Arabidopsis thaliana: one gene and its partners. The protein of the gene in region 3 interacts with the protein of the main gene of each other region in a pairwise test. Each region holds a gene or a part of one and is shown on either strand. Other genes may lie near its edges. The genes, in order: SEOa, AT1G01440, AT3G51180 and PHB.

What was found.
Region 1: the proteins of AT3G51180 (region 3) and SEOa interact in a two-hybrid assay, tested with the Arabidopsis thaliana proteins (one large-scale study listed by BioGRID).
Region 2: the proteins of AT3G51180 (region 3) and AT1G01440 interact in a two-hybrid assay, tested with the Arabidopsis thaliana proteins (one large-scale study listed by BioGRID).
Region 4: the proteins of AT3G51180 (region 3) and PHB interact in a two-hybrid assay, tested with the Arabidopsis thaliana proteins (one large-scale study listed by BioGRID).

Annotation. Positions count from the first base shown.
Region 1 is NC_003074.8:245,180-251,119, reverse strand, and holds SEOa (sieve element occlusion protein), read right to left. Parts: upstream 3,929-5,940; 5' UTR 3,905-3,928; coding exon 3,284-3,904; intron 3,203-3,283; coding exon 3,122-3,202; intron 3,052-3,121; coding exon 2,582-3,051; intron 2,504-2,581; coding exon 2,394-2,503; intron 2,294-2,393; coding exon 2,151-2,293; intron 2,077-2,150; coding exon 1,612-2,076; intron 1,510-1,611; coding exon 859-1,509; 3' UTR 648-858; downstream 1-647. Other genes in the region: AT3G01660 (S-adenosyl-L-methionine-dependent methyltransferases superfamily protein), read right to left, coding at 4,688-4,993, 5,073-5,588. UniProt on the Arabidopsis thaliana protein: Scaffold protein required to form the phloem filament matrix in sieve elements.
Region 2 is NC_003070.9:158,952-164,685, forward strand, and holds AT1G01440 (hypothetical protein (DUF3133)), read right to left. Parts: upstream 4,003-5,734; 5' UTR 3,536-4,002; intron 3,330-3,535; 5' UTR 3,269-3,329; coding exon 1,617-3,268; intron 1,528-1,616; coding exon 1,467-1,527; intron 1,352-1,466; coding exon 1,128-1,351; intron 1,042-1,127; coding exon 984-1,041; 3' UTR 677-983; downstream 1-676. Other genes in the region: AT1G01450 (Protein kinase superfamily protein), read right to left, coding at 5,154-5,734.
Region 3 is NC_003074.8:19,011,654-19,016,959, forward strand, and holds AT3G51180 (Zinc finger C-x8-C-x5-C-x3-H type family protein), read left to right. Parts: upstream 1-1,735; 5' UTR 1,736-2,066; coding exon 2,067-2,132; intron 2,133-2,713; coding exon 2,714-2,896; intron 2,897-2,989; coding exon 2,990-3,114; intron 3,115-3,197; coding exon 3,198-4,389; 3' UTR 4,390-4,694; downstream 4,695-5,306. Other genes in the region: AT3G51190 (Ribosomal protein L2 family), read right to left, coding at 4,953-5,292.
Region 4 is NC_003071.7:14,638,676-14,646,334, forward strand, and holds PHB (Homeobox-leucine zipper family protein / lipid-binding START domain-containing protein), read right to left. Parts: upstream 5,681-7,659; 5' UTR 5,319-5,680; coding exon 5,086-5,318; intron 4,524-5,085; coding exon 4,364-4,523; intron 4,273-4,363; coding exon 4,157-4,272; intron 4,072-4,156; coding exon 3,981-4,071; intron 3,865-3,980; coding exon 3,769-3,864; intron 3,688-3,768; coding exon 3,490-3,687; intron 3,416-3,489; coding exon 3,260-3,415; intron 3,176-3,259; coding exon 3,101-3,175; intron 3,013-3,100; coding exon 2,906-3,012; intron 2,821-2,905; coding exon 2,631-2,820; intron 2,540-2,630; coding exon 2,351-2,539; intron 2,260-2,350; coding exon 2,179-2,259; intron 2,097-2,178; coding exon 1,956-2,096; intron 1,865-1,955; coding exon 1,551-1,864; intron 1,453-1,550; coding exon 1,338-1,452; intron 1,253-1,337; coding exon 1,103-1,252; intron 1,020-1,102; coding exon 873-1,019; 3' UTR 648-872; downstream 1-647. UniProt on the Arabidopsis thaliana protein: Probable transcription factor involved in the determination of adaxial-abaxial polarity in ovule primordium. Specifies adaxial leaf fates.

The DNA of each region.
Region 1 (5,940 bases), about 19 Mb from region 3:
GTAACCAAGGATATATTTATCTAAAGACAATCACTTTTCTAAAAATAAGATTGTTATGCTTTGGGTTTATTCTATGCATGTTTTTTTTTTTTTCTATTAACTTTAGCATAACGTTTATAGGTAGGATTAAATTTGTTGTTTCTATACGCAACAAATTTTAATATCTCATCATTAGAAATACGTATAAGAGCTTCTTCGAAATCGAATCCGATATATGCAATATTTAAAAAGTATTTGATGGTTTGGAAGATTTAACTTTTACATTAACTACAGGCTAGGAACCGCTGATTTGTCGTTTAAAGTTGTATTCCCCCTTTGTAATACAGCAATCAGTCTCATGGTTTATTTTTTCAATAATGTAGACTAACACTTTTAACTTTCTATTAGATATATTACGATATGTGATTTGGACTCAAAAGACTGTTCATCTTTTGATTGATTGATCCATCCTTTTACTTTGCCTATATTTTACTAGCATTAAGTAATTTCATTTCAAAAGGCTAAATGTCAAAAGATATTACTGTCACATTAAAAAAATGTCACGGTCACTTGTGTTACTTGTGTATTAGTTCACTAGTGTTCTAGGAGCTTAAGGATCAAGAAATCAACAAAGAAGCAATGTTCAATCAGTTCATTGTTCTAGAAGCTTCCGATAAATAAACCTTTATTATTTCGAAATCTCAAACACACAAATTTTATTACAAAGACTCTCTGCTTTTAGTAGAGCAGAACAACAACAACAACATGAAGAGTAGAGAAACTCACAACAAGGAGGAAAAAAAAGACGCAAACTTATTTGGTTTTATAGGAACAAGTTGTTGGCTTCCAAATCAACTTGTTCCCCAGTATTATGGGATCTTACTCAAGGCAGCATTGGTACAAGTAATACTTTTCCATAGTCCTACGGCACTCGGTGCACTCAACCTCATTAGGTATAATTCCAGCAGTCTCAGGAAGCATGAACCTTGTGCAGTGATGTGGTGGGAGACGCATTAAGAGATGATCATTGAGCGCTGTAAGAAAACCCTTTGTGGGGATGTTGACTTCCCATTCGTTAAATTCAGCCAAACCCCTAGAAAACAAGTTCCCTTTGGCTCGAACCATCATGTCCGATGCTTTACTCACCAGTCCCCATCCATCTCCTTCTCCTCCATAACCTAACATAGCAACCACTTCTTGCAGAACAAGGTCCTTTTCCTCTTCTTTAAACCCTTCTCTCCCCTTGATTCCGTGGGCTTTCAGCATCCTCTGCTTCGATTCCCACATGCTCTCGACCCTGGTCCAGAAAAACCAGATCTGGAACAAGTCCGGCAAAGTATGGCTGAGATTTTCCTCCCGGATTGTGTTGATTATCGGCTGGATTCCATTCTTAGGGTTTCTTTTCCCGACATAAACCATCTCAAGTTGAATGTTTGCGGCCTTCGCTACATTACGCCAGAGACTCGTGAAGTTTTTGATCCATTGCATATCTTCTCCTCCGTAGAGACATATGTATTTTCCATCAACAAGCTGATAAAAAACATTTGAAACACACACAGATTTTCAGGTTACGTGTAACACAAGAGAAAGAAAAATTTATTAGTACTCTGTTTTTTTATTCAATCAAGAAACCTGGTTTAAGGAATGAGGATCAGTGCCATCAATCAAGAACTCAAGATTCCACTCCTGTTCGCTCCATAGATCACGTTCCCTTGCGGTGGTAAAAGGGTGAGCAAAGGGTTGCCAGATCCAGACCATAGGAAAGGCGTTGGTTGACATAACTTGACCTTTGGGATCAAGTGCAACGAGTATAGGCCTGTTCTTGAAACCCCACCATTCCCTCACAAACCTTATCGCGGCTCGTCTTAATTTCCGAGGCTCTCCAAGAACGTACCACCTCATGTTCATGTGAAGGGCCTCGAACTTGGCATCGTCAGCTTCTGTCCAGAAATCTTGAACTGGAACCCAAAGAATCTCGAATGACTGCTGCCATGCTTCTGTGTAGAGCGATTCCAGGATGTAGAGCTCTTTTTCGATGTTTTCTAGGTCTGATATCAGAAGCAGAACGTGCTTTTGGGTGAGCACGTTGATCCCGACCTGGTTAATGTTTGAAAACAGATCAGTCACTGACAAGAGACATATACAGATGCAGAGATATAAGGAGGTTTTACGCGTCTCTTTGAAACACCAGCTCCGTGGTAAAGAAAATCAATGGGTCTGAGAAGACGAAGTAGAGGAGGAACAACGTCGACGTGAATGATAGTAGTGAACGTCTGGATGAGTTCTTGATACTCTTCTTCGATTATACCTTCCTCTGTAACAGAGTAAAAAAAACAGAGCTTGAGAACAGAGGAATAAAAATACTCTTAAATATATAGAAACAGAGAGAGAGCTTAAAACGACGTCGTAGTTACCGATGGTCATTTTACTCTTCTTGAATTGTTCTAACAAGTAAGCATTGATCTTCCTAAGCCTTTCGCTATTCTCATGTATCTCCGAAACTTCCATAAACGACATGATTTGACTGAAAACATAGATGAGAAGCACATACTCAACTTACTCCTACTTGAAACCCTAGAAATCAGAAAGAAAAACAACTTACTCCTGCTTGAAACCACTGGCGCCACTGATGTGAGAAACACATATCAAAACACAGCGAACAATCCAGTAAACCGCAGTGGGGATATGGTCGGTAAACGCGGCTGTGATGTGGTTTGGCGGGAGTTGATAGATATCGATGATGGTAGTGGTGAGATCAACCATGTCTTGCATCAGAATTCGGGTCTTGTCGAGACGCTGGTGTAGAGCGTTCTGCCGGGAGAAGATGCTAGGGAGCTGTTTGATGAGAGCCAGAGATTTTGTGAGCTGATTTGTTGCGTGTGTCTCCGCGAGGAGGAGAAAAACGCCGTATTTCACGGCCAAAGCAGATAGGACAAGGACTAGCTTAGCATCCCAACGGTATTTGGAGACCAAAGACAGAACAGAGAACGTCGTCGTGTTGCGACTATCCAAATGAAGCCCTGATGTCATCATACCGTGAGACTCACCGCCATGGAGACACTTGCAGTCGATCTGTGTCAGAGACATTGATACTTAGATACTGACTCAAACGTTACTTAAAACAAGAAAGCTTCATATATACCTCGCAAGAGATTTGATCAATGAGATCCGCAAAAGTTTCAAAGGAGGTATGATCAGCGTAGTCCTTGAAGACGAGTGATGGCTGCAAAAAGTTTTAAATTTAATACGCTTGTAAAAATCAGTATTTGAAATGGGGATTAATTGTTGCACAAGTAAACTAAACCTTAGGAGCAGAGGAGTCAATGGATGGGACATGAGACTTGAAGATGTCATTAACAACGGAGAGAAGTGATGTGACATCAAAGAAGATCATGTCTGGACTGTGAGTCTTCAAGACTCTATCAGCCATGACTCGGTCATCAGAAAGTGAAAACATGGGTCTGCCATTTCTATGGAAAGCTTGTTTCTTTCCCGGACCAAATCTTCCACCGAGCGAATTGGGACCCAATGATTTCGGAACCATCGAATGTCGGATATTAGCATCAAGGATTTCCTCAGATGGATGAGGGTAATGTGCAGTCTTAGGGACAATGGAACCGAGATTCTCGCTATTATGATCCATCACCTTATTATGGTCCGCAGGAGCAGCAACATGGTGATCATCAGTATGACCCCCAAAGGGGTTGTCTTCGTGAGATCTCGGTGCTAAAGGACGCCTCTCGCCTGCGTTATCAGCCAGCCTCTGCTCGGCGGATCTTGGAATAAGGGAGACCCTTTTGAGAGGGTCGGCCGTTGGGAGGGTTTGTGAGTTCAATTGAAAGCGTTGGGCCATATTGGCGAGGTTGAGAGAAATATATGGTGAAGGATCTGATGTGTTGTGATGAATGATTGGGTTAGTATCCATGTGTGTGTATATATACTGGTGCAAAAGGTTAAATAAAGTGGCAACTTTGAATCAACTTCTTTGCTTCACCTTTGGTTCAATATCTGTTTTGGTGTCTTTTACACTTCCATACAGTTTTTCCCTTATCGATATTTCATAATTTTCATAATAATAAGAATTTCAGGTCTTGGATAATATTATTTCTAAATATGAAACGTCTCTAACGCAACTGCAACAGTCTAATACTAGTAGTGAGAAACATTTAATATTTCAAAGTTTATATACTGATGGTACAACGAGTTATCCTGATAAACATAACTAAATTTAGTATGTACATAGTAAAATAAGGGACTTCATAGCTATTTAAGAAGACACATGCATGGAACATAGATAGTGTACATATACAATGGATTTTTGTTTTAATATAAAAGACTTCCTTCTAATATATATACTGTTATTATAGAATCTAAACCATAAAGTAAGCAACTCGTGATACTCGTTTGAAGAGGGACAAGGCTACCTTGCTTGGATATTGTCCATGAATCTTCGAACAAAACGAATCACATACAATGCATGCTAATTGAAAACTATATATTAATTATATTTTCCAAAGTGTGTAATCTTTCTGTCAATTATTTCTTGTGTAATACAGGTTCTTCCAATTTGATTGAAATCTGTAATTTCATTCTCCACTTTTTAAAAATTTGTATTGTAAGTTTCTCCAGCTGGACTTGGTTGAGAGGTTTTTTCCTTTTCTTCAAAAACTTCCCATCCAATTCTTATACACTTTTTTTTATGTGCGTGTTACTCATAAATAGGTTTGAAATTTTTATAAGCAATGACAGCATTAAAAGGATCGGGCGTAGAAGCTAAACCGATAAAACCCATAAGCCGAGTCAAAACCGATATCTGAGCTCCAGGCTGTTGCCGGATGATCTCCGGCTGAGTAAACCCTTCAATAGACTGAAAGTACTGAACCACCAATTGGATCCGACTGTATTCGGTTCCATCACGCCAAACCCTAATTGCTTTCTCATAAAACATCCGGTTGCTAAAACTCACTATCAACACTCCTCCCGGTTTCAACACTCTATACACTTCTGCAAACACCTGCGGTTTATATAATAAAGACCCGGTTTAGGAATCTTCTTGACATAACCGAAATCGGTTTTGGTTTACGGTAACGTACCTTTTCGGGTTGTTGTAGATACTGTACACCAACAGAACACAAAACAGCGTCGAAATACTTGTCTTCGAACTCGAACTTCTGATCTTCATTAAGATCCTTGACGAAGAAGTAATCGAGTCTAGGGTTACGAGCAAGCTCCTGTGCGTTAAGACCATGCCCTACTACTTTCTCGTACTTCACTTCTTCTGGAAGATGGCTGACCCATGAGCTCATCAAGTCAAGTACAGTCGAACCGGGTCTCAACCGGTTTCTGTATAGTTCGGTTAAGGAGGATATGAAACTATCATCTACGTGGTTCACGAACCGTGGATATGAATAGAATTCACGGTCAGGATCGGCGTTTAGTTTGGTCCGACCTTCGTTGTTAAGTACTAACCTTTGGATCCTACCGGCCGAGGATGATGGTCGAGGATCGGTTTCATCGATTCGGTTTGATATGTTGGTGATTCTTGGTCGGAGAATTCTAGGTTTCAATTGAAATGGAGATTGTTGGAGGTTGAATCGAAGAGAATCCATAAGAAAAAAACTTTCGCTTTATCAAATTTCACAGAAGCGAAGAATCGTTTGTAGAAAAAGTGACAAAATTTATGTAAAAAGAAAGGAATGGATAACTGATGAGTGGTGTGATTATTTCTGCTCTTCCCTACTATTTATTTGGTATGTTTGCTTGTAGCCCAATTTCAGGCTAATGGGCTTCTATTGGGCTATTCATCCATTTATTTCTCATTGCTTATGTCGACAAAACAAATCAAAATTAAAGTGTTTAAGCAATCAACTTTGGTTTAATCGAATCTTGAAAAATCAAAGAAAGCCAACAGACAAATACATAATTCTTACAATCCAATCAAAGAAATTTTATGAACAAGAT
Region 2 (5,734 bases), on a different chromosome or scaffold from region 3:
ATTATTTCCAACGTAGACAGGATTACAGTAATCTCTACATTTATGGAAATTAGGTGATTAGTTTGTATTTGTAGTGTCTATCAAACGAAACTCGATAAGGATGGTCCTACAGTATTTATTGATTAATTATCACTTATCAGGAGCAAAGATAGAGACTTGTTCTCTCTCTCTTTTTTCAACTAAAGACAGAGACCTCGCACTTAGATTTAATGGTTGAAACTTGTAACTAAAACTACTTGTGAGTATATAAATTAGTATCTAGTTTATGCTTTACACATCTAATTAGACGAAAAAATATATTTTGTCTTCTGATAACCGTGGTAATTTTCATGCTAATTTTGTTTTAAACGTTCTATCTAGAGAAAAAAAAAAAATCGTTCTATCTAGACGGTAGAATTAGTTCTCGGTGATTTAAAACATAAACTAATCTTTAGACATGAATTAGTCGTTTTAGACAGACTAGATTATCGACTCTGTTTTTTTATATGGAGTAGGGTACACCACGACCACGAGGCCCATTGTGAATAAATTATTCCATGGGCTTTAAATATTTGCTACGTGGACCCATCTTACTTGAAGTTGATTTTGGATCTACCATACCAGTGTGTTTTCTTTCTTGAAAACGATTTAACAAGTACACACAGCCTGGACAGATCTATAAATATATACATTTATCTTTTGTCACAAAATCAAACAAATATTATTTTATTTCCCAACAGGCAACAGGTTATCCACAATAAAAAATGATCAATTTACATAAACCAGATCACAAGATATAAAACCATACGGTTTATCTCTTAGACAAAAAAAAAAAAAGTAAGAGAAAGAATGGAACATTGTAAGAGAACCCCCAAAAAAGAAACTAAACCCAAAAACAGAATAGCAAATAAGTTTTGGGTCAGAATATAAGCAAAGATGTGTTATATATCAATCACAAAGAATAATTTACAAATCAGAGAGGTCAAAACAAAGCTGACGAAGCTTCACGAGACTAATGATCTTGGAACCCTCATGCCAAATCCATGCTTCACCTTGTCAACCCTGATTCAATTTTCAACCATAAAATTTCAGAATCAACTAAATGATTGATGTAAAAATTTGATTACATGGAATTGTGTTGTGCTTACGTTGGAGCTAATCTGCCAAGACTCTTAAGTTCTTCACCAGAGTCTCCATCAAGAACTCTTCCTGCTATATCAATGATGTAAGAACGGTTCTTGCCTCGAGGAAGACCTCTACTTGATAGTAACTCTAGGTCTCTCTCGTGAAGCTCTCTTCCGTTTACAAACACACTCGTGTTTCCTGCACCGCAGTTATCCGGCATTGGTCGACTAAACTCCTCTATAAATGGCTGCATCAACCAACAATTGTTTCCCATTTCCTCATCAAGTACCAATCAATACAAAGAATTATGAAACAGTGTACTGGAATTCAAAGCAATATAGAAGAGATGTGAAAGTTCTTACTGGTATTATACCGAGACAAGGGTTTCCCATCACTCCCCAGAATCCAGCACGGTAATCATACCTGGTCAGAATCATAACATAAAGATGGTTTCTTGAACGACTGATCAATTCTTTTGACGTAGATTTATCAAAACGTAACCCCAAACATACCAGTATTTGCCAGCTTGAACTGGCCCAGCTTGTTTCTCAGCGCTAATAACCAGATCTTCTGGTATCAGATACCCATTCACCCAAACCTCTAGCTGCTCGTTGTTTTGGTCGTTAGAACTGATATTATTTGTGACCTCTGCGAAACTGTGCTCACTACTCTGCTTTCGGTTTCTTGGTCGTCTCCCTTCTTTGCTGGCTTTTGAGATCCTTGAATCTTCAGACTCCTCGGTGTTAGTATAGTACTCATTATAAGAAACATCTGTCTCAGTAGCTACTGATTCTGATTTCAGGGAGTCTTGTTTCGTGTATGATTCTTGCTTATAGTACCCTAACTGCGCCATTCCGTAAGTGATTGCAGCTCGGTTTACATTAGAATACTCAAAGAGCTCAAGAAGATTGGACTTTTCCGGAGGAGGAGGAGGAGGAACCTTCGCGCCTTGGGCTCTGCTGCGAACAGACTTGACGACCTGTTTCCGCGGCTCACTAGAAATGCTTGACCTGTCTTCATCGTTTGAGTGATCACTAGGCGATACAGCATGGACAATTTTCGTTTCCTGGTGTATTCTTGGTTCTTCATCATTGAGTGGATAATCATCTACCACAGGGATTGGTGAGCTTCTATCTTCAACCTCTACAGAAACCCGGTTCGTAGTTTCCCCCAGGGCAGAAGATGAGAAAACAAGCTTCTTATCAACAACTCTGAACGTGATAACCTCAGAACAAGCACCACATTGCATCTTTTGTTGCCTTTCCTGACCAAGAAGCTTCTTCTTAGGCACATATAGCAGCTCAAAGCAACTGTGACAAGCAATAAAAGGCGCACCGCCTGCTAGAGGATGGCAACGACGTGAATCAGTATCAGACACAGCTTGTTGAACATACCCACGAGCAAAAGCACCACCCATTTCAGAATCAATTTCACTAGGCCACCTCGTGTGAACACCACCATGTGGACTAAAGGGTCCAACTTTCTCACCGTGGTGCAAAGCCGGGCTAAATGGGACATCACCATACCTACTTGGCGTACCCGGAAAGAATCTAGGGTCCTGTAACTGTGACTCAAGTATATCAGAGCCAATGTCTACATACTGTCCTTGAGGATAGGGTGGACGAGGCGGCATCTGATTAGGGTAATGACTTGGTCCTTGATAAAAGTTTTGAGGTATCCTATGCACTGGGAATCCATAAGGGTCTCTATAAGCTGGAACATGAGGTTGGTTACTCGCGGTAGGATACATTCCATAAGGAAATGGCTCAGGGTATGGATTGTAATAAGAAGGAGGAGGTCCATGATGGGCATGGAAACCCATTGGTGGCTGATCAACAACAGTAGCATTATTACCTCCACCACGGAGAAGATGATCTTTAATAGAATCAAGCTTTCTCAAAAGCTCGGCTTGTTGTTTATCAGTGTACTGAATTGGGTTGTTTCTGGTGGTTGTGTTCTTAGAAGAAGAAGAATCTGAATCAGTCTCTTCCTCCTTTCTCGAGCTCTTGACGAATCTCTGAGAACCAGGTCGTGAATTCGAATCGTCTAGGCGATTTCTCATCGGGCTAGTAGCGGATTCATTGAGATCCTCCTTAAAGCCTCTGTCTTCATCACTTCTTGAGGAACCAGTATCTGCTCCATAAACGTCACCGCTTGTCCTCATCGGAAAAAAAAAACAAAAATTCTCCGACGAAGACCAGCTTCTAGGGTTTTGCTTGTTTAAACTGCAACAGAAATAATAATCCTTGAATTCAAACAAAATCCGAAATTATCAACAAATTCTCTAATCGAATCTTCTCCAATCCGCGAATAGTAACATGGTAGAGCAAATCTTAAAATTTTCCTAGAGACTAGTTCAAGAGTTTCCATGATTGCACAGCATCCAAAACGGGAAAGACAAGACAGAGAGATATAGGAAAATCAAACGCACCTCGAAGAAGAGTGATTCCGGCGTCAGTATTATGAATATTTTTTGGGCAATTTCTTCGTCTCCGGTGAGAATCAAGCTTTTAGTCTCTTTGACGCAGCCATTTTTTAATATTAAAGGAGTTTTGTGAAAATTTCAGAGGAATTTATTTAAATAATCAAAAGACTTCGAACAATAGCTCTACTTTTCTTGCTTCGTTTTCCCGGGAATCTACCAACTAGGAACAATTAGATCGACAATGGAGTTTAAGAATTTTGACATATCTAGAAACTATGAGTCTTACCAGGTCAAGTTGACCAAGAGATAACGTGACGACCAAAAATAATGCAACAAAATAAAAATAGTAGTAACTAATGAATTGGTTGGATCGATTCGAATTTAACTGCATTTGAAAGGTGAAAGTTAAAGTACCAAATTAGGTCTTTGATATATTTGTGTCTCGCTGCTCCAAAACCAACAATACCTTGAACTACACACACTATTCATCATGGCCATGGTGGGTTTAGTTTATAACGATGAATGTGTACGTATTTTATACATGTATTGTATAATATTATCTTGTCAAAATAGATGGTGTGCCATGTTCCCAGACGTGCTCATAACTTGAATTCTTTTCATCATCATCATCTTTAAAAAGTTTAGAGATGTATTTTAGTTGTTGGAATTGTATTTTATATTAGGGTGACAATGACAAATGTTATAGCTGTAAAGTATTTTTTGTACAAATCAGCTGCTTAGTTTGTTTACTCCACTTGCTTATAATGTTATATTTGACAAATCTGTTGGTATTAAAATCATAATAACGTACTTATCACCAAAAAAAAAAAAGAAATCATAGCTTCATTCATCTAAAACTAGAGTGGGGACTTTTTGGTCATATCACAATCAATGACATAATAAAAGCGTCGGAGGATGGATGTGACGGAGTCGGCGGTGGCGGAGATATTGAAATTGACGAGAGACAGAGCCAAAGCTCCGAACCACGCCATGTCTCTAGTCCCCGGCGGAATCGCTGTTCCCCTTTTTTGTTAAGGTAATTTTCAGGCAGATTAGTCAAGGTTCCTTATTTTTGATGTTTTTATCCACATTCGAAGCCCAAAATTTGATTAGTGTAATTTGATGGTGTTTGATAGATTGTAGAAATAGTGGAGCAGGCCTAGTTTACTTCACTTCAGCGTTGAGCCTCTACAGTCTAGGCACATAATTTTGCCTCATATGATTTGTTTCCTTTAAGATAATATTGTAGCTAGTAGCTACTGAATCAATCAGTCACTAGCCTGAACAATATACGAGCCTAGTAGTATCTGTAGGAAACTTTGAATAAAGAAGAATTTTATCGTTTTCGATAGATATGTAGTGGAGTGTGTGTCACCACATACGAGTTAGTATGTCTTTTGACTTGTACAGCATTTTGAACTTGCTATTATGAACCTATTCTTTTTCCCTGCAGACTAGGAAAGCTCAGAGTCAGAGGCATGTCCAGAGTTTGATCGTCGTATCCTTGGGCTTATCAATATCAGCTGACTCTCAGAGTTTGCTCTCATGCTTTGCCCACCACAAGGGCTTAGTGGCGGATGCCTTGATCGTCCTCTCGGAGTTGTCCCTGAACAGAATCCAAAGGCTAGTGACACAAAACAAAAAAATTAGTACAAGTAACCAAGTTCATATTTGTTAGGGAGCCTATATATATATATATATATTGGCTGATGATAATCTCACCTGGTTTTTGAATTGGTTTCAGGCTAGAAGCTCTTTTCAGAAGATTTGAAACCTGCTTCTTGCTCATACCAACATCATTTGAGGAGCATGACAATCTTCTTTCCTTGGCATATGACAACTGCTCATCTGATCCTGCCCCACCCTCATCCTCGCTACACGAAGCCCATTCACTTCCTGATTCCGATGGTTCCCGGAGATTATCCTTTTCACACGTTTTTGCCCGTTCCACAACCCTATATGCAAACATTTGAAAAGGAACCTGTGAAACTTTGGTTAGCTCTGTAGATTCCCAAGAAAGCTTCTGCAATAGCTTTGTCTCGATCTCGCAGTAATCCACAGTAGGCGCAATGGACGGGTCTTGTTGGCTACTACTGTAACATTCCGGGTTCAAAGCTAGAAACCGTTTGATATACCGGAGAATTCTGCTTATCGATGAGAAAGTTGGACGCTGATTGGGATCAGCATGCCAGCATCGTTTTGTCA
Region 3 (5,306 bases):
GACAAGGAAGGTTGAGATTTGGGTTACGAAGAATAAGATTGATACTAGTAACAACAATGGATCAGACGAAGTTGTGTGGATTCACTTGTTGACGTTGCTACCAAATAACTTGCCAAACTTATTTATCGAGTGTTATGGCATTAGTTACTTCATCTATGACAAGACCACCTTCATCATTTATTGTGCTGACGAGAACACTTATGCGGCTTGCATCTATATTGTCAGGGGAGATTTGCTCAAGAAGTTTGTAATTGACACCATGGTTTTCTGTTGTTATAGCTGTGTTTATGCTCCCAATTTTATCCCCCTTCCTTTAATGTAAAAGTTCTGAATATAATAATAAGATGCTTTATTTATTAAAGCTCTCAAATCAACATTTATTTTATTTCACTAGTAGTTTAAACCAATTGACAAAACCGGTTCAGTCAATGTTACAACTTACAATCCAAAACAACAAACCAAACCGGATAAACACCCAAAATGCCCAAAAAAATAACAGAACATGTGACTAAAGCTTTGACAAACGGATGAAATCTAGGCTCTACGACCACTACAATGATATAATATATGTACTGTGCACTGAAATAATACCCAGCAAAATAGTGATCAGTTCCAAAGTCTAAAAGAAATCAGTATGACTCATTACAGTTTTACCAATCCAACATTTGTCGCCATCATAATCAAAATCACACGATCGTAGTCGTAGAAGCCTTTGCGTTGATCGTTACTTAGAGTGATTACCATTATCGTCACATCGTCATGATATCTCCGTCTCCTACCAACCGGAATATTCGTCAACTCTTCCAATGCGAAGCCTAAATCAAAGTGCCAATTTTCGTCTCCTAACTTTCTTGAACCTTTCAAAAAGAAAAATGTCAATTTTATCTTTTCGTCTTCTAATTTTCTAGTCGGACTAGTTGTTGTTTTTCCAATTTAATGTCGGCTTTCAACTCAGGCGTAGCCGGTGTTTTGGTCGGATTAAAATATTCCAAACTTAGTTTTGTCTAAGTGCTGGATTTTTGTGTTTTCTCTTTCTACATGACTTAAAATTAAATCTTGTTTAGATTATGTATGATTTACTGTCGGCTTGGCTCTTCTAAAGGACTAATATCCTTGTAACTTACTACCGACTGGTATGAAGACTGGTATGAAGTGGACCTTTTAAGGTTTTGAGGTGGAGCTTTTTTTGAAGAATTTTTGAATTGAGATCTAAAGATTCGTTGGAGTCATGGCCAGAATTATAAGAACGTACAGCAAAATTTGGCAGGCCGGCGGCGGTAAACCTATAGAAGGAGCTAGCGATGATGGATCTAAAGTCCAGCGACAAAGCTGAACCATATCGTTAGATATGGCTGATAAAGATCGTGTCAATACTCATCCTTCTCACGTGTGGATACTTTTTCACAAGTGGCATTTTTAACTCTTATTTTTTTTAAAAAGTTGGATTTAGAGTAAGTGGGCTTAATTTCAATTTTAAGTTGTAAATGTAGGACTTTGTTTTATCTGTAATGCCAATTTGGTTTTCCATTTTAATAAAAAATAAATAGCCAAAAATAAGGAAAAAATCTTATTTAATTTTTTAAAATAAGTAGGAATCCAATTGAGTTAATAAATAAATATAAATTAGGAATCCAATTATAATTTGGAGTTAGCTGAGACCTGAGAATTACACGAAATTAAATAAATAAATAACTGCTTCCGTTATATATAAATACAGTCTCTAAAGGAACGTCCTAACAAAATCCACCGTGTACTAAAAAGAAAAAGAAAATAGAAGAGACAGTTGTTAGGGTTTTCTCATCAATCAATCAATCATCATCATCACCCAAATCCTTCCGCCGACGTCTCTTTCTTGTTTCCGTTTTCTCTCTCCGATCTCTGACTCATCCATCGTATTGACCAATTCCCTAATCAAAATCCTTCGAATCTCAATTTGCTTCGTTAAGAAATCTGTAGATCTAGCAGAAAAAATTCATATTTGATCTGAATCTGATAAAAAAACGATCACCGGTTGAATCAAAAAGAATCGAATTTTGTTTTCACTGGTTTGTTTCTTTGAGATTTATATGAATAATATGAAGAGATCGAAGAAACCCAGAGTTTCATGGCCACCAGGTCCTAAGCTTTGTCAGGTATAATTAATCCTTATATGTTCCATGTTTTCTTATCCACTTTCTAATCCCAAATTGATTGATCCATCTCACCAAATCTAAACTCTCGATTATAACAATTAACCTAATTTCTGGATCCTAAAATTTCGATTTTGAAGTTTTCCTTTAAACCCAACGAATTGATTGATACGATCTTGAATCGCTGAATTATTTAATTTCAATATCCAATCGAAAAATGGTGAAGAAACCAAGTCTTGTTTGTTGTTACTTTGACGGCTCTTTTGGTATGTAGAAGGCTTTGATTTTTCTATCTTTGAAGATAACGTTTTAGCTCATATAGTTTACATGAAATTGATTTGAATCAACAAAGATATATTCAAGGTTTTGGATTTGGAAATTTGAATCAACATACAGTTAGATTTAGATTGAAACAAGATATGATCAAGTTTTGAAGTTTGAATGCATCAATCCAATACTCTGCAACTACAAATTTACAATCTTTTTACAGATAGACTTGGGAAGCCTTATTGGTTTAGTTACATAGTTTTGATACACGAAAAAGTCAGCTTTGGTTAGCTTCTAACTATGCGGATTTTGAACAGGTTAAGGTTTTTCGAACAGAGGACAGTCCTGCCAATGTAGCCTCTCAGCCTCAACGTCATAGCTACCCATCTAGGAAACCTCGAGGGCCAGATCTTCCACCTGGTTTTGAAGGAAATCACTATGCAGTTAAGCCTAATGTTTCAAACATTCCTCGCATCAAATGGAAACGACCTCCTCCCAAGGTATATTTTTTATACTGTAAAGAATTGGTGAATCCCTTTTGAATCTTTTTTTATCATATCTGATATTAATATTATGTGTCTTGGACAATGCAGTTCTCTGTCAATGATACTTGGCTGGTTGGATGTGGTGGCGGGAGCTCAGAATGGCAAAATGAAAACTTGAGGATTTCAAAAGTGCTGGAAGCTATCTATCCTCATCGCTCTGCCATCCCTTCTCGGTATTTTACCTTCTTCTCTTAGGTTATTCAACATTGTGTTGGTGTGTTAGTTAGCCTGCTGATTGCATTCTGTTTTCATGTAGACCCTCTGTTTCACCGGCTGTGGAAGCTGAATGCTTTGATGACAGCAAAACTCCTGCCATTCGTCTCACTCCTATTGAAGACGAGAGTGAATCTTCTTCAGAGGAGTCATCCAACAGTAAGGTTGAATCAGGTGTTACCGCAAACAAGCAGGGTCAGTTGGAGACCAAACCTCTATGTTCAACCCAAGAACAGGTTTCTGGTCTTACTGGTCTTGCACCAGACTTGAGTCTGGCTGCTTCTGCAGCTCTGACTGCACTGATGAAAACCAAGGAACAAGGGAGTTTGGTCGATACTGAGCTACTTATCAAGTTCCTCAGCGACCCAAAATTAATCAAGAATCTTATCACTGACACATCAGGTAAATCCTCTGAAACTAAGAATCAGCCCATTGTCACTAACATCAACTCTGCTACTAGACCTGTTCCGCAGCCTGTCAGTGCTGTCACCGCCTCACCCATGGCTAGAAAGCCGCAGCCAGTGATAATACCTCAAGAACACAGTGTTGCAGTTTCTCGGTCTTTTACTAACCCTGAGAGGCGAGTATCACCTCCCAAGCCTGTAAATGGAAGCATATCCCCACCTAAGCCTATAACTGGAAAACCATCTAGTATACCAATGCCCGTTCATTTCCATGTCGGTATAGCTAAAGAACAACCTCAGCCTGCTCGGTTCCCATCGAGTTCTCTGCCAATGAACCTTAACTTCCACCGACCTCCAAATGTTTTCTCAGAACCAAAGGTAATAGTAAATCCTCAACCCCAACACCAACCCTATTCCGCATTCCGTACATCTGAAATGAACTATGTTCAATCATCAATTGGACTTGGAAGGGGTCCTCAAACCGGTTTCAATTCTTATCCAATGAACTTTAGCCGGGCAGATGCAATTGGTAGCGCTAAACCAGTAGTACAACCTATGAAGGGTCTAGACTATTTCAAAAACCTTATAAGGGAACATGGCACAGATAATCATGAAACTAACCAATACCATTCACAAACTGGAATATTCAACGGACGCATTGATAATAATAATAAGATTCATCAACAATGTATCTACTTTGGCACTGCGAATGGATGTAATATGGGAGACAGTTGCACCTATGTTCATGACCGGTATAGGCCCAACTTTGAGGCCGCGGCTCCGAGGGCTAAGAGAATGAAGTTTGGAAGGTATGAGAGAAATGGTTTTTGAACATAAAAAAAAAAATAGAGTTCACTTTTATAGTCTTGTCTATCACTGGTTAAGGAACAAAACCTGAGGTGATACAACTTTCAATTTTGATCAATTTGTGCGCACCAATTTTAATTCATTTAACAAAGTTATTTGTTTAGAGCACCAGTTTAATGACACCAGTTTAAGAGGTCGAGAAAGCCGGACAATATTAATTTAAATCATGATTTCAAAACTAATCTGCGTAATTAATTTGTAGTAAACTATGTCCGGTCTTTTAAAACAAACGATTAACGGAGTTGAGTTTTGTAATCGCTTAAAAAAACTGTTGTAATATATAGCTAGAGTCTGGAGATGTACTGCAAAGTATAGGTAATATGTAGTAAAAAAATACCATCAAGATGACCGCAAAAGATCTCATAAATTAAAGAATTCAAAATTCTACCTTTAAAGGGCAGATTCGAAACGAAGCTCATTAGCTTTCAACACAAAAAGAGGTTATAACTAAAGTAAAAGGCTACAATGGGGTGTTAACAGAAATAAGAAATTAAAATCAAGAAAGCAGAGAAGAGTGTGTCTCAAGTCTAGTAGTCTGCCTTGGCTGCTAATGTGGCAGCTGCACCTCTACGACGACCAGTTCTCCTTGCAGCAATTTGACCAACCTTAGCACCAGCAGATTTATCACGCCTGACCGTACTGGCGTGACCAATGTGCTGGTGGTTTCCTCCTCCGTGGGGATGTTCCACTGGGTTCATCGCAACACCACGTACAACAGGCCAACAGTTCCTCTTCGCTTTGTACTTGTGGTATGCATTTCCAGCCTTGAGAAGTGGCTTCTCTGTTCTTCCTCCACCTGCAACTTGCCCAATCATGGCTCTGCACGCACTTGGCAAAATCTTCTTCGATCCAGAAGGAAGCTTAACCCTTTTTATGGTACA
Region 4 (7,659 bases), on a different chromosome or scaffold from region 3:
ATCATCATTTACTTTTCTTATGATAGATACGATTTCAGTATACGTTTTTTTTTTTTTTTTAGTGTACGATCAATTTATAAATAGGCATGATGTATTCATTTATTGTGAAGATTCATGCAAATCTAATCTTTAAGTTTGTTTGCAGTGCTATTAACGGCTTCGCACAACTAGAACCTGTATTCAAATTGGACCACCCTCCATTATACAAAACAATAATACCCAAATCTAACATAATATCTTATCAATAATACATATATTTCTATTTTATTATAATTATTGATATACATACTCCAAAATTGCACAACGTAACCAGCTAGCTCATTCATCTATCTTTCTTACTTTATAAAAATGAAACATCATTATTATTAGCCTGTTAGATGTTCCAAAACTTAATATAGTTTCTTTGTCCAATTAGATATTTACGAAATTTTAACTCATATATTTTTTTTTTTTTCTTTTTTTTTGGCTACAAACTATGAGACTTCAGTAAAGAGCTAAATTTTAGCAGCATAACTAAAACATTCAGGGAAAGAAAAAACTACACGTCAAACAAGAACCCCCTATAGTAGACAAACTAGACATAGATGGTCATATAAATAGGTAGTTGAAAATAGAAACTAGTCACCTTGTGAAAGCAAACGAGCACAAGAAAAAAAACTTGATAACATTATCATAATAATCTTGCCATATAACGTAACATAGGAACAAGAACAATCCATACAAGATCAGACATTCGTCATATTACATATTGGTCCTCGAATTTCAAAAGACTTTGGAGCATAGTGGCACCTAACTTTAATATCTTACATAAATAACCTCCCTACCAAGGGAAAAATGGAGTAAAATCTGGTCTTCTTATTTCTTATTATTCTTCAAACGAACGACCAATTCACGAACATGAAAGCTAAGCAGTGGTTTGATTCATCGTCTTCAAGAACTTTCCACACCGTTGCCTGCTCGTAAGATACCATCCTTCCCATGCTTGACGCACATACTCCTGCCGGCAGATGAGCATAGCCCTGTAAAACAAAATTTAGATTCCAAGTCAAACAATGATTTTTCCAAGAAAATGTCAAAATGTTTCCCAAGAAAAAACAAAAACCTGTTGCATGATCTTGGGGAACTCAGAGCAAAGAGCTTTACGACCAGGTTCGTCAAGGGTCTTGTCTAGCATTATGTCTTGAAGGGCTACAAGAGTCGTTTCCAGCATGTCTAAACCGGTTTGGTTTGCGAATGTGAAAACCGGTGAAGCCTACAGATGAGAATTTATGTCAGTCATCTCAAGAACATGTTCTAGTCACAAATACAAAATCTGAATGGGAAGCCTTGTTACTTACGTTTGTTTTGAGGGAGCAGCACAAGATTGCATCAGAGTGATTCCAGAGTTGATGCAGCAACGTGTCACCACTGGTTTGAGAATCAGATCCAAAGAGATCTGCACCAGTGTGAAGGCTACAAAGCCAAAAAGAAAAGAAGAGAAATTCAGATAAAATACTCCATAGATCATGTAAACAAAAGCAGAAACCTAGAGGCTAATGATAATGAAGTACCTGTAACTCCGGGAGATCCAACGGACCAGAGTGAGAGCTTCAGGGGAAGTGGGAACAGATATTGGACTGATATTGGAGCCAGGACGAGGAGCAATGGCTAGAGCAACCCTCTGAATCGATCCTACTATGCTTCGCACGTACTGACGTGCCATTGAAGCAACACTGTCTCTTGAATGGTTATCAAATGTGAACTGGAATGCTATGGTTAGTACCGACCTAAAGTTACAGCCATTTGGGTCGGCTTCACCAGCTTGACGTGTGGATCCTTCTAAAGCTGAGGCTAAATCCAGGGTACGGTTTGCAGATGCACCGTTCTATATGACAGTGAAGGATTAGAAATTTAGAATATTGCGTCAAGAATAAATGATTTGGGACTGATCCTTAAATGGCTTTTTGACATGTTACCGGAGTAGATTTCTGTTCAAGAGGTATGATGCGGAAACCGGAAGGAAGCAAAGGTGCATCATCAGCAAATGATTCATCGATAGGGGCAAATACAAGCTGTGCACAACCTCCAACCACATTTTCATCAACACCGCTACAAAGCTAGACAAGAATCAAGAATCCAAAATGTCATGAAGAGAACAAAGGAGCATAGAAACTTTGGAGTTAAAGTATGAAGTCAAACCTGTAGCAAATACATATCCCGAGCTAAACCCATGTCTTCGGGTGAGTAAGCGTGACCTTCAAGTCTAACCACCTCAAGTGACTGAAACAAGTAACCAAGAAAGGTTTCAGGACTATAACACGTATTTAGAGAGAGGAGAAAGTGAAGCTGTGTTATTCTTTGATAAAAGTACCTCTTCATGTTCAACTGTCTGCGCAAGAGGAAGAATGACTTGGTTACTTGGGAACCCCCCAGCTCTAGCACAAGGAACAGCAAAAGGACTTGCTCTGAGCGATGCAGCAGCATAAGCATCCACGCCATAATCAGCCCATTCAGATCGGTGTTCTCTAAGGAATCGAACCAGCACAGCGGGTGGAACGTTCTTCAAACAAAAAAAAAAAGATGCAAGTTAGTTAGAAACAGACAGAAACAGAATATTAGTTTTTTTATTATCAAATCCTTAAGACATGTACCTGAAGCAACATAGATGCCTTGGCACAAAGCACGCCACTACCAAAGCTTGGAAGGAATGAATTACCGTACTGAGACCCACCAAACTTCCCAGGGGACAAGTTTATCATTACAGTAACATCCTCTGCACCATCGCTACCCATTGGTGACCATCCATCATCCACAAAACCATTAACAGCATCATTGAAACCCCTGAAAGTTCATCCATATTGAACAATTAGAATAAGAATAAAAGAAATTCTTGGTGATAAAGCTATTAAGTAAAGTAGATACTTACCGACAGAGTCTTTGACTGAAGGTTCTTAAAACCGCAGGTTGGCGCCCTCCACCATACTGAACTTCTCCACTTGTTTCTTGTGCAATTTGTCTTACATGTCTCAAAGCCTGAAATAAGACTCCGAACTTAAGAAACATTGCAGCATACCAAGTCGTTCAGGTCATATACAGTTTGGATAAAGGTATTTGAACTTACAGCAACAGTCATTTTCTGAGCAAGAATCTTCGATGATTCATAGAGAGGCCTCATGACTTCAGGGACACTCCAGGCCTTGCAAAACCGAAAAAACAAAGTCATGATCATATTATAAAGAGAGAACTGAAGTGTTATGAACCGATTCGAGTTGTCACTTACATCCAGATCAACATGATCAACAATGTGGAGAATGGAACCACCACCATCGCAAGGACGGATGAGAAACCCGCTTGGTTTCATTTCAGCTCTCACAAAGTTTGAAGAAGGTGGCCCAGTGGGGCCACCAGTTGCAGAAGTAAGCGACCTTTCACAAACCTGAAGACAGTGAGTGAAGACAAAAGTATTAAAACAGAAACTACATAACAGAAAAAGCAGATTCAAGAACTCACCACATAGCTTCCATCTTCCAAACATGTGCTATATCTCAGCGTCCAAAAGTCACGAGCTGCTGCTAAAGTCGTAGGAGCATACATCTGCGTGTAAATAAGCTCGATCGTCCCACCGTTTCCAGCAGGTATCACACTCAGAGTATCCACACTTCGACAATCTCGGAGCCAAGATGGACGATCTTTGAGAATTTCAGCAACCTATATTTGTTTTCAAATCAAGACTAGCGTAAGCTAATGATTATAAACACAAGCCAGAACGTAACAAATCGCACTCTTTACCTTCATGGGTTCTAAACTCACGAGGCCGCAGGCACGTGCTGCAATTCCGCTGCAGTTGCGCGAAATAGCGACTATGCCAATAGAATCCGGACCAGGCTACACCAGCAATGAAGGTTCATCAAATAATCATAAACAACTTCATCTTCAGACACAACTAAAGAATAGAAATCAGATTATACAACTTTAAGAGTATTCAGGCCAGAAAGTATTACCTTCATCCCAATCATCTGAACCCAGTCAACAGCAGTTCCTGTAGCCTTGGAAAGGAACTCTGCTAGGGCCTCCTCTGCTATAGAAAGGAGTCTAAACAAAAAAGAACCATTTAGGTTGTCACAGAGTGGGAAACAGAATTCATTAGAGAGTTATAGAGCAGACAAGAAAAGCTCACCCTGCTGGGTTGTTAGCATCACGTTGCTGATGCTGAGGATTTGGGTTTTGCTGTTGATGTTGCTGACCACTCACGACCACAGACTCACAGCTGTTGTCTGTGGTCGTCCCAGAAGCCTACATTCCAAAAAAAAGATAACAACTTTCAAACAAAATGCTTCATAGAATTGAGTTTTAGAGACAGAAAATAGTGAAAAGTGAACTTTACAGTGTGAAGTTGATGTTTCATGTGGCCATTCTCATAGACCAAGTTAGAAACTTGCTTCTGCAAACGATCATTCTCTTCCATCAAGAGTTTGTTCATGGCATTGAGTTTTCTGTTCACTGTTTGAAGACGAGCAGCTTCTTTCCTCTGCTTCTCACGACATCTAAAAATCAAAAGGAAGCTTCGTTAGACCAACTAAGCCAACATAAAAGCCAAATGTGCATGGATGATGGGAAGAAATGTTAGTGGATGAACAGAGACAGACACCATTTGTCTTTATAAAACACATCCAATGATATAAAGAAGAAAAGATAATGTAAATTTTTCCCCTTTATCATATCATAATTTCTGGCAGAAAATCTTAAGCTTTTGACAGAAATAAATGTTGGAAACGCATTCAAAGACAATTTGATTAAATGTCACTTTCGTGAATTTAGATATTCAACCAACTAGATACGTCAAAGCATATGGTAAACAAAGTTTCTTGCTTTAAAGAGATTTAGAAGACGATTAAAACTCATAACAAAATGATCACTGAGATCCAAAAAATTCTTGTCAGATAAGAACAGCAAGGAAACTTAAATACAACTGACCAGTCAAAGAAAGAAAAACATTTAACATCTTCATAAACTCATATACAAACAAAAAGATAATCTAATGGTAAGAAAACAATTAATACAGACAAAAGGTAACAACTTTGATAAGGAAAGAAGATGAAATTTCACCTGCGGTTCTGAAACCAAACTTTGATCTGCTTAGGCTCGATGTTAGAGAGAATCGGACATTCACGTATGAGTTGTTGTCTTCTTAGAGAACTTGGCTTAGGACACTCAGTGTAAACTCTCTCGAGAGCTTCCACTTGCTCCGGCGTGTACCTCACATACTTGCCGGAATCTAACCCTTTATCCGGCGACTCTCTGTTCATCATATCTCTGCTCATCGAATGGACCATCATCATAGCTCAAAGTCAGAAATAGGAAAAAAGGACGATTCTTTTGAATGGGTAAAGCTTGAAAATTGGAGAAATCCCTAGGTTATTTTCAAGGGTAGGCTCTCTCTACTCAGAGAGCCTCCACTCACGTTCATGAGATAATGGTGAGAAAAAAAAGGAGTTTTGGAGAAAGAACAAATAAACAAAAAAAAAAGTTTCTATTTTTATTTTTTTCGGTTTATTTGTTATTTCTTTAGCTCAAGACAGAAAACGCCAGAGGGCAATGGCGAGAGAGGAGAGGAAGGAGAAGCGAAGAGATAAGAGGAGCAAGATAAAGGAAGCAAAGTAGAGGTCTTTATCTCAGACGCCAATCTCGAGATCCTTTTAAGACATGGTCCAAAAAAAATAAAACATAACTCTAAAAGAAATTACTTTTCTTTTGTGTGGCGCGAGAAAGACTTGCAAGAACATAAAAACAGCATAAAGGTAAAAAAAAAATGAAAACTGAAACGCCAGGTGGGTTGAATTTGATAAAAGCTTTTTACTTTTACGGTTTTATTTACATAGCTAAAATAAATTAATATCTACTGCAAAATCTCATAATAATTTATACTTTGTGTCCATATTTGTACTCAATGTGTTCACTAAAAACATTTACTTTAGTAAAAAGAAAATGATTTGTCCAAAAAAAAAAAAAAAAAAATGTAAAAAGAAAATGCAATTGAGTTTTATGTGTACTAATTACTACATAAGTTTCTTCTGGTTATAACTTGTGATGCAAAAATAAAATAAAATTATTCTAGTATTTGTAGCAATAAAAAATTAGCTAAGAAATAATTAAAATAAGGTGCAGGATAAAAAAGGGGAAAGACAATAAAGGAGAAAAGCCAACACACGCAAAACAGTCTCTGCAAAACCCATCTGTTTTTTTTACTCTACCCACAACAGTAATGATAAAAATACATATAAAATAACTAACTTAATATGGAGGCAGAGAAGACAGGCCAATCTTTGTTTTTTTCTTTACCTTTTCTTTTTAATATTGTTATGTTTTATTCGAAGAAATTGTTGTCAGAAGAAACGGATATTTGACGAAATGGGTATTTTGCTAACTTAGGGAAAAAAAAATGCTGTTGTCTTTAGCTCTGTGAGAAGGACATCACATAAGTTTCTTTCTCTTTCCTTCTTTCTGATGTTCATCATATGCTGATGCTGATGTATGTTGCATGTACAATATATCATCATGTGTATATCTACGTACATCTTTGTATGCATTAGGTTTATGATAATGATGATGATAAATGTTGCATGCATGAGGAAAATGGTGTGGGAATGTCACTCACCGAGCGCGTGAGAAGCGTGAAAGGGACTTTATTTTTTTGAAATATAAAGTTATTAGTCCTGTCAAAAAATGCCTCAAATTAGGACTTTTTGTGTGTTTAAACTTTCTTTTATGAAATTTGGCTTCGCTTTGTTAGTTTCAAAGCTTTTTTGTTTATTAGAGTTTTGGTTTTTTCTGGTCAGATTATGAATATATTCGATTCAAATTTGAGTCAAGAAATAAATAGAAAGAGAAGACAGACAAGTTTGGCATTGGTAAGTACAGTCTGTTTTAGGTTCTGTAAGAGTTGTACAAAATCAATGCTCGGACAAACGACTAACTTCTTATAACTACGGTCTACGTGTCTATACGCTAGGACAAAAAATAAATACGTAATATTTTTTTTTTTTTATATATACGTAATATTTTTTTTTTTTTTTTATATACGTAATTTAATACTAATACTGTACATAGAGAGAGAGAGGAGTAGGAGGAATAAATGAAGGTGGTCATGTGAAGTCTCATCATGAGTCCAACTTTGTGCATGCGCTTCGATTTTCTACATGGCAGATACCACCACACGTAGCTCCCTATATCCTTTTCTTCGACACCCAATTAACCATTTTTATTTCAATAAAAGGCTACAACTACTAAATACTTTTCTCCATCGAATACACGCAAAATAAATGCTTTTCAAGTTGTATTCTTTTCATAAAACACCACTTAACATTATTTAACTACACAATATTACGAGGTTTCTTCTCGCGCCACTCAAAACATTTTTCTTTTGAGTTTTGAGTTTTGTTTTCCTCATCACGAGGGATTATTAACTCCTGCATGTTCACCATTTATATACCGTGTTTGAAGTTTGAACTATGGTAAATGGATTTTTTTTTGGTTTTCATTGTTGTGAAGGTTTAGTCGCATCCTTCATTTGTTAATATCATCGCATAATCAAAGCAAATGAAAAAAGAAGTTGTAGAAAAAAGTTTTCAAAATTATCTGACAAGTAAAAGATTGTGAAAGTAGGTTTTCATTCATTTTTTT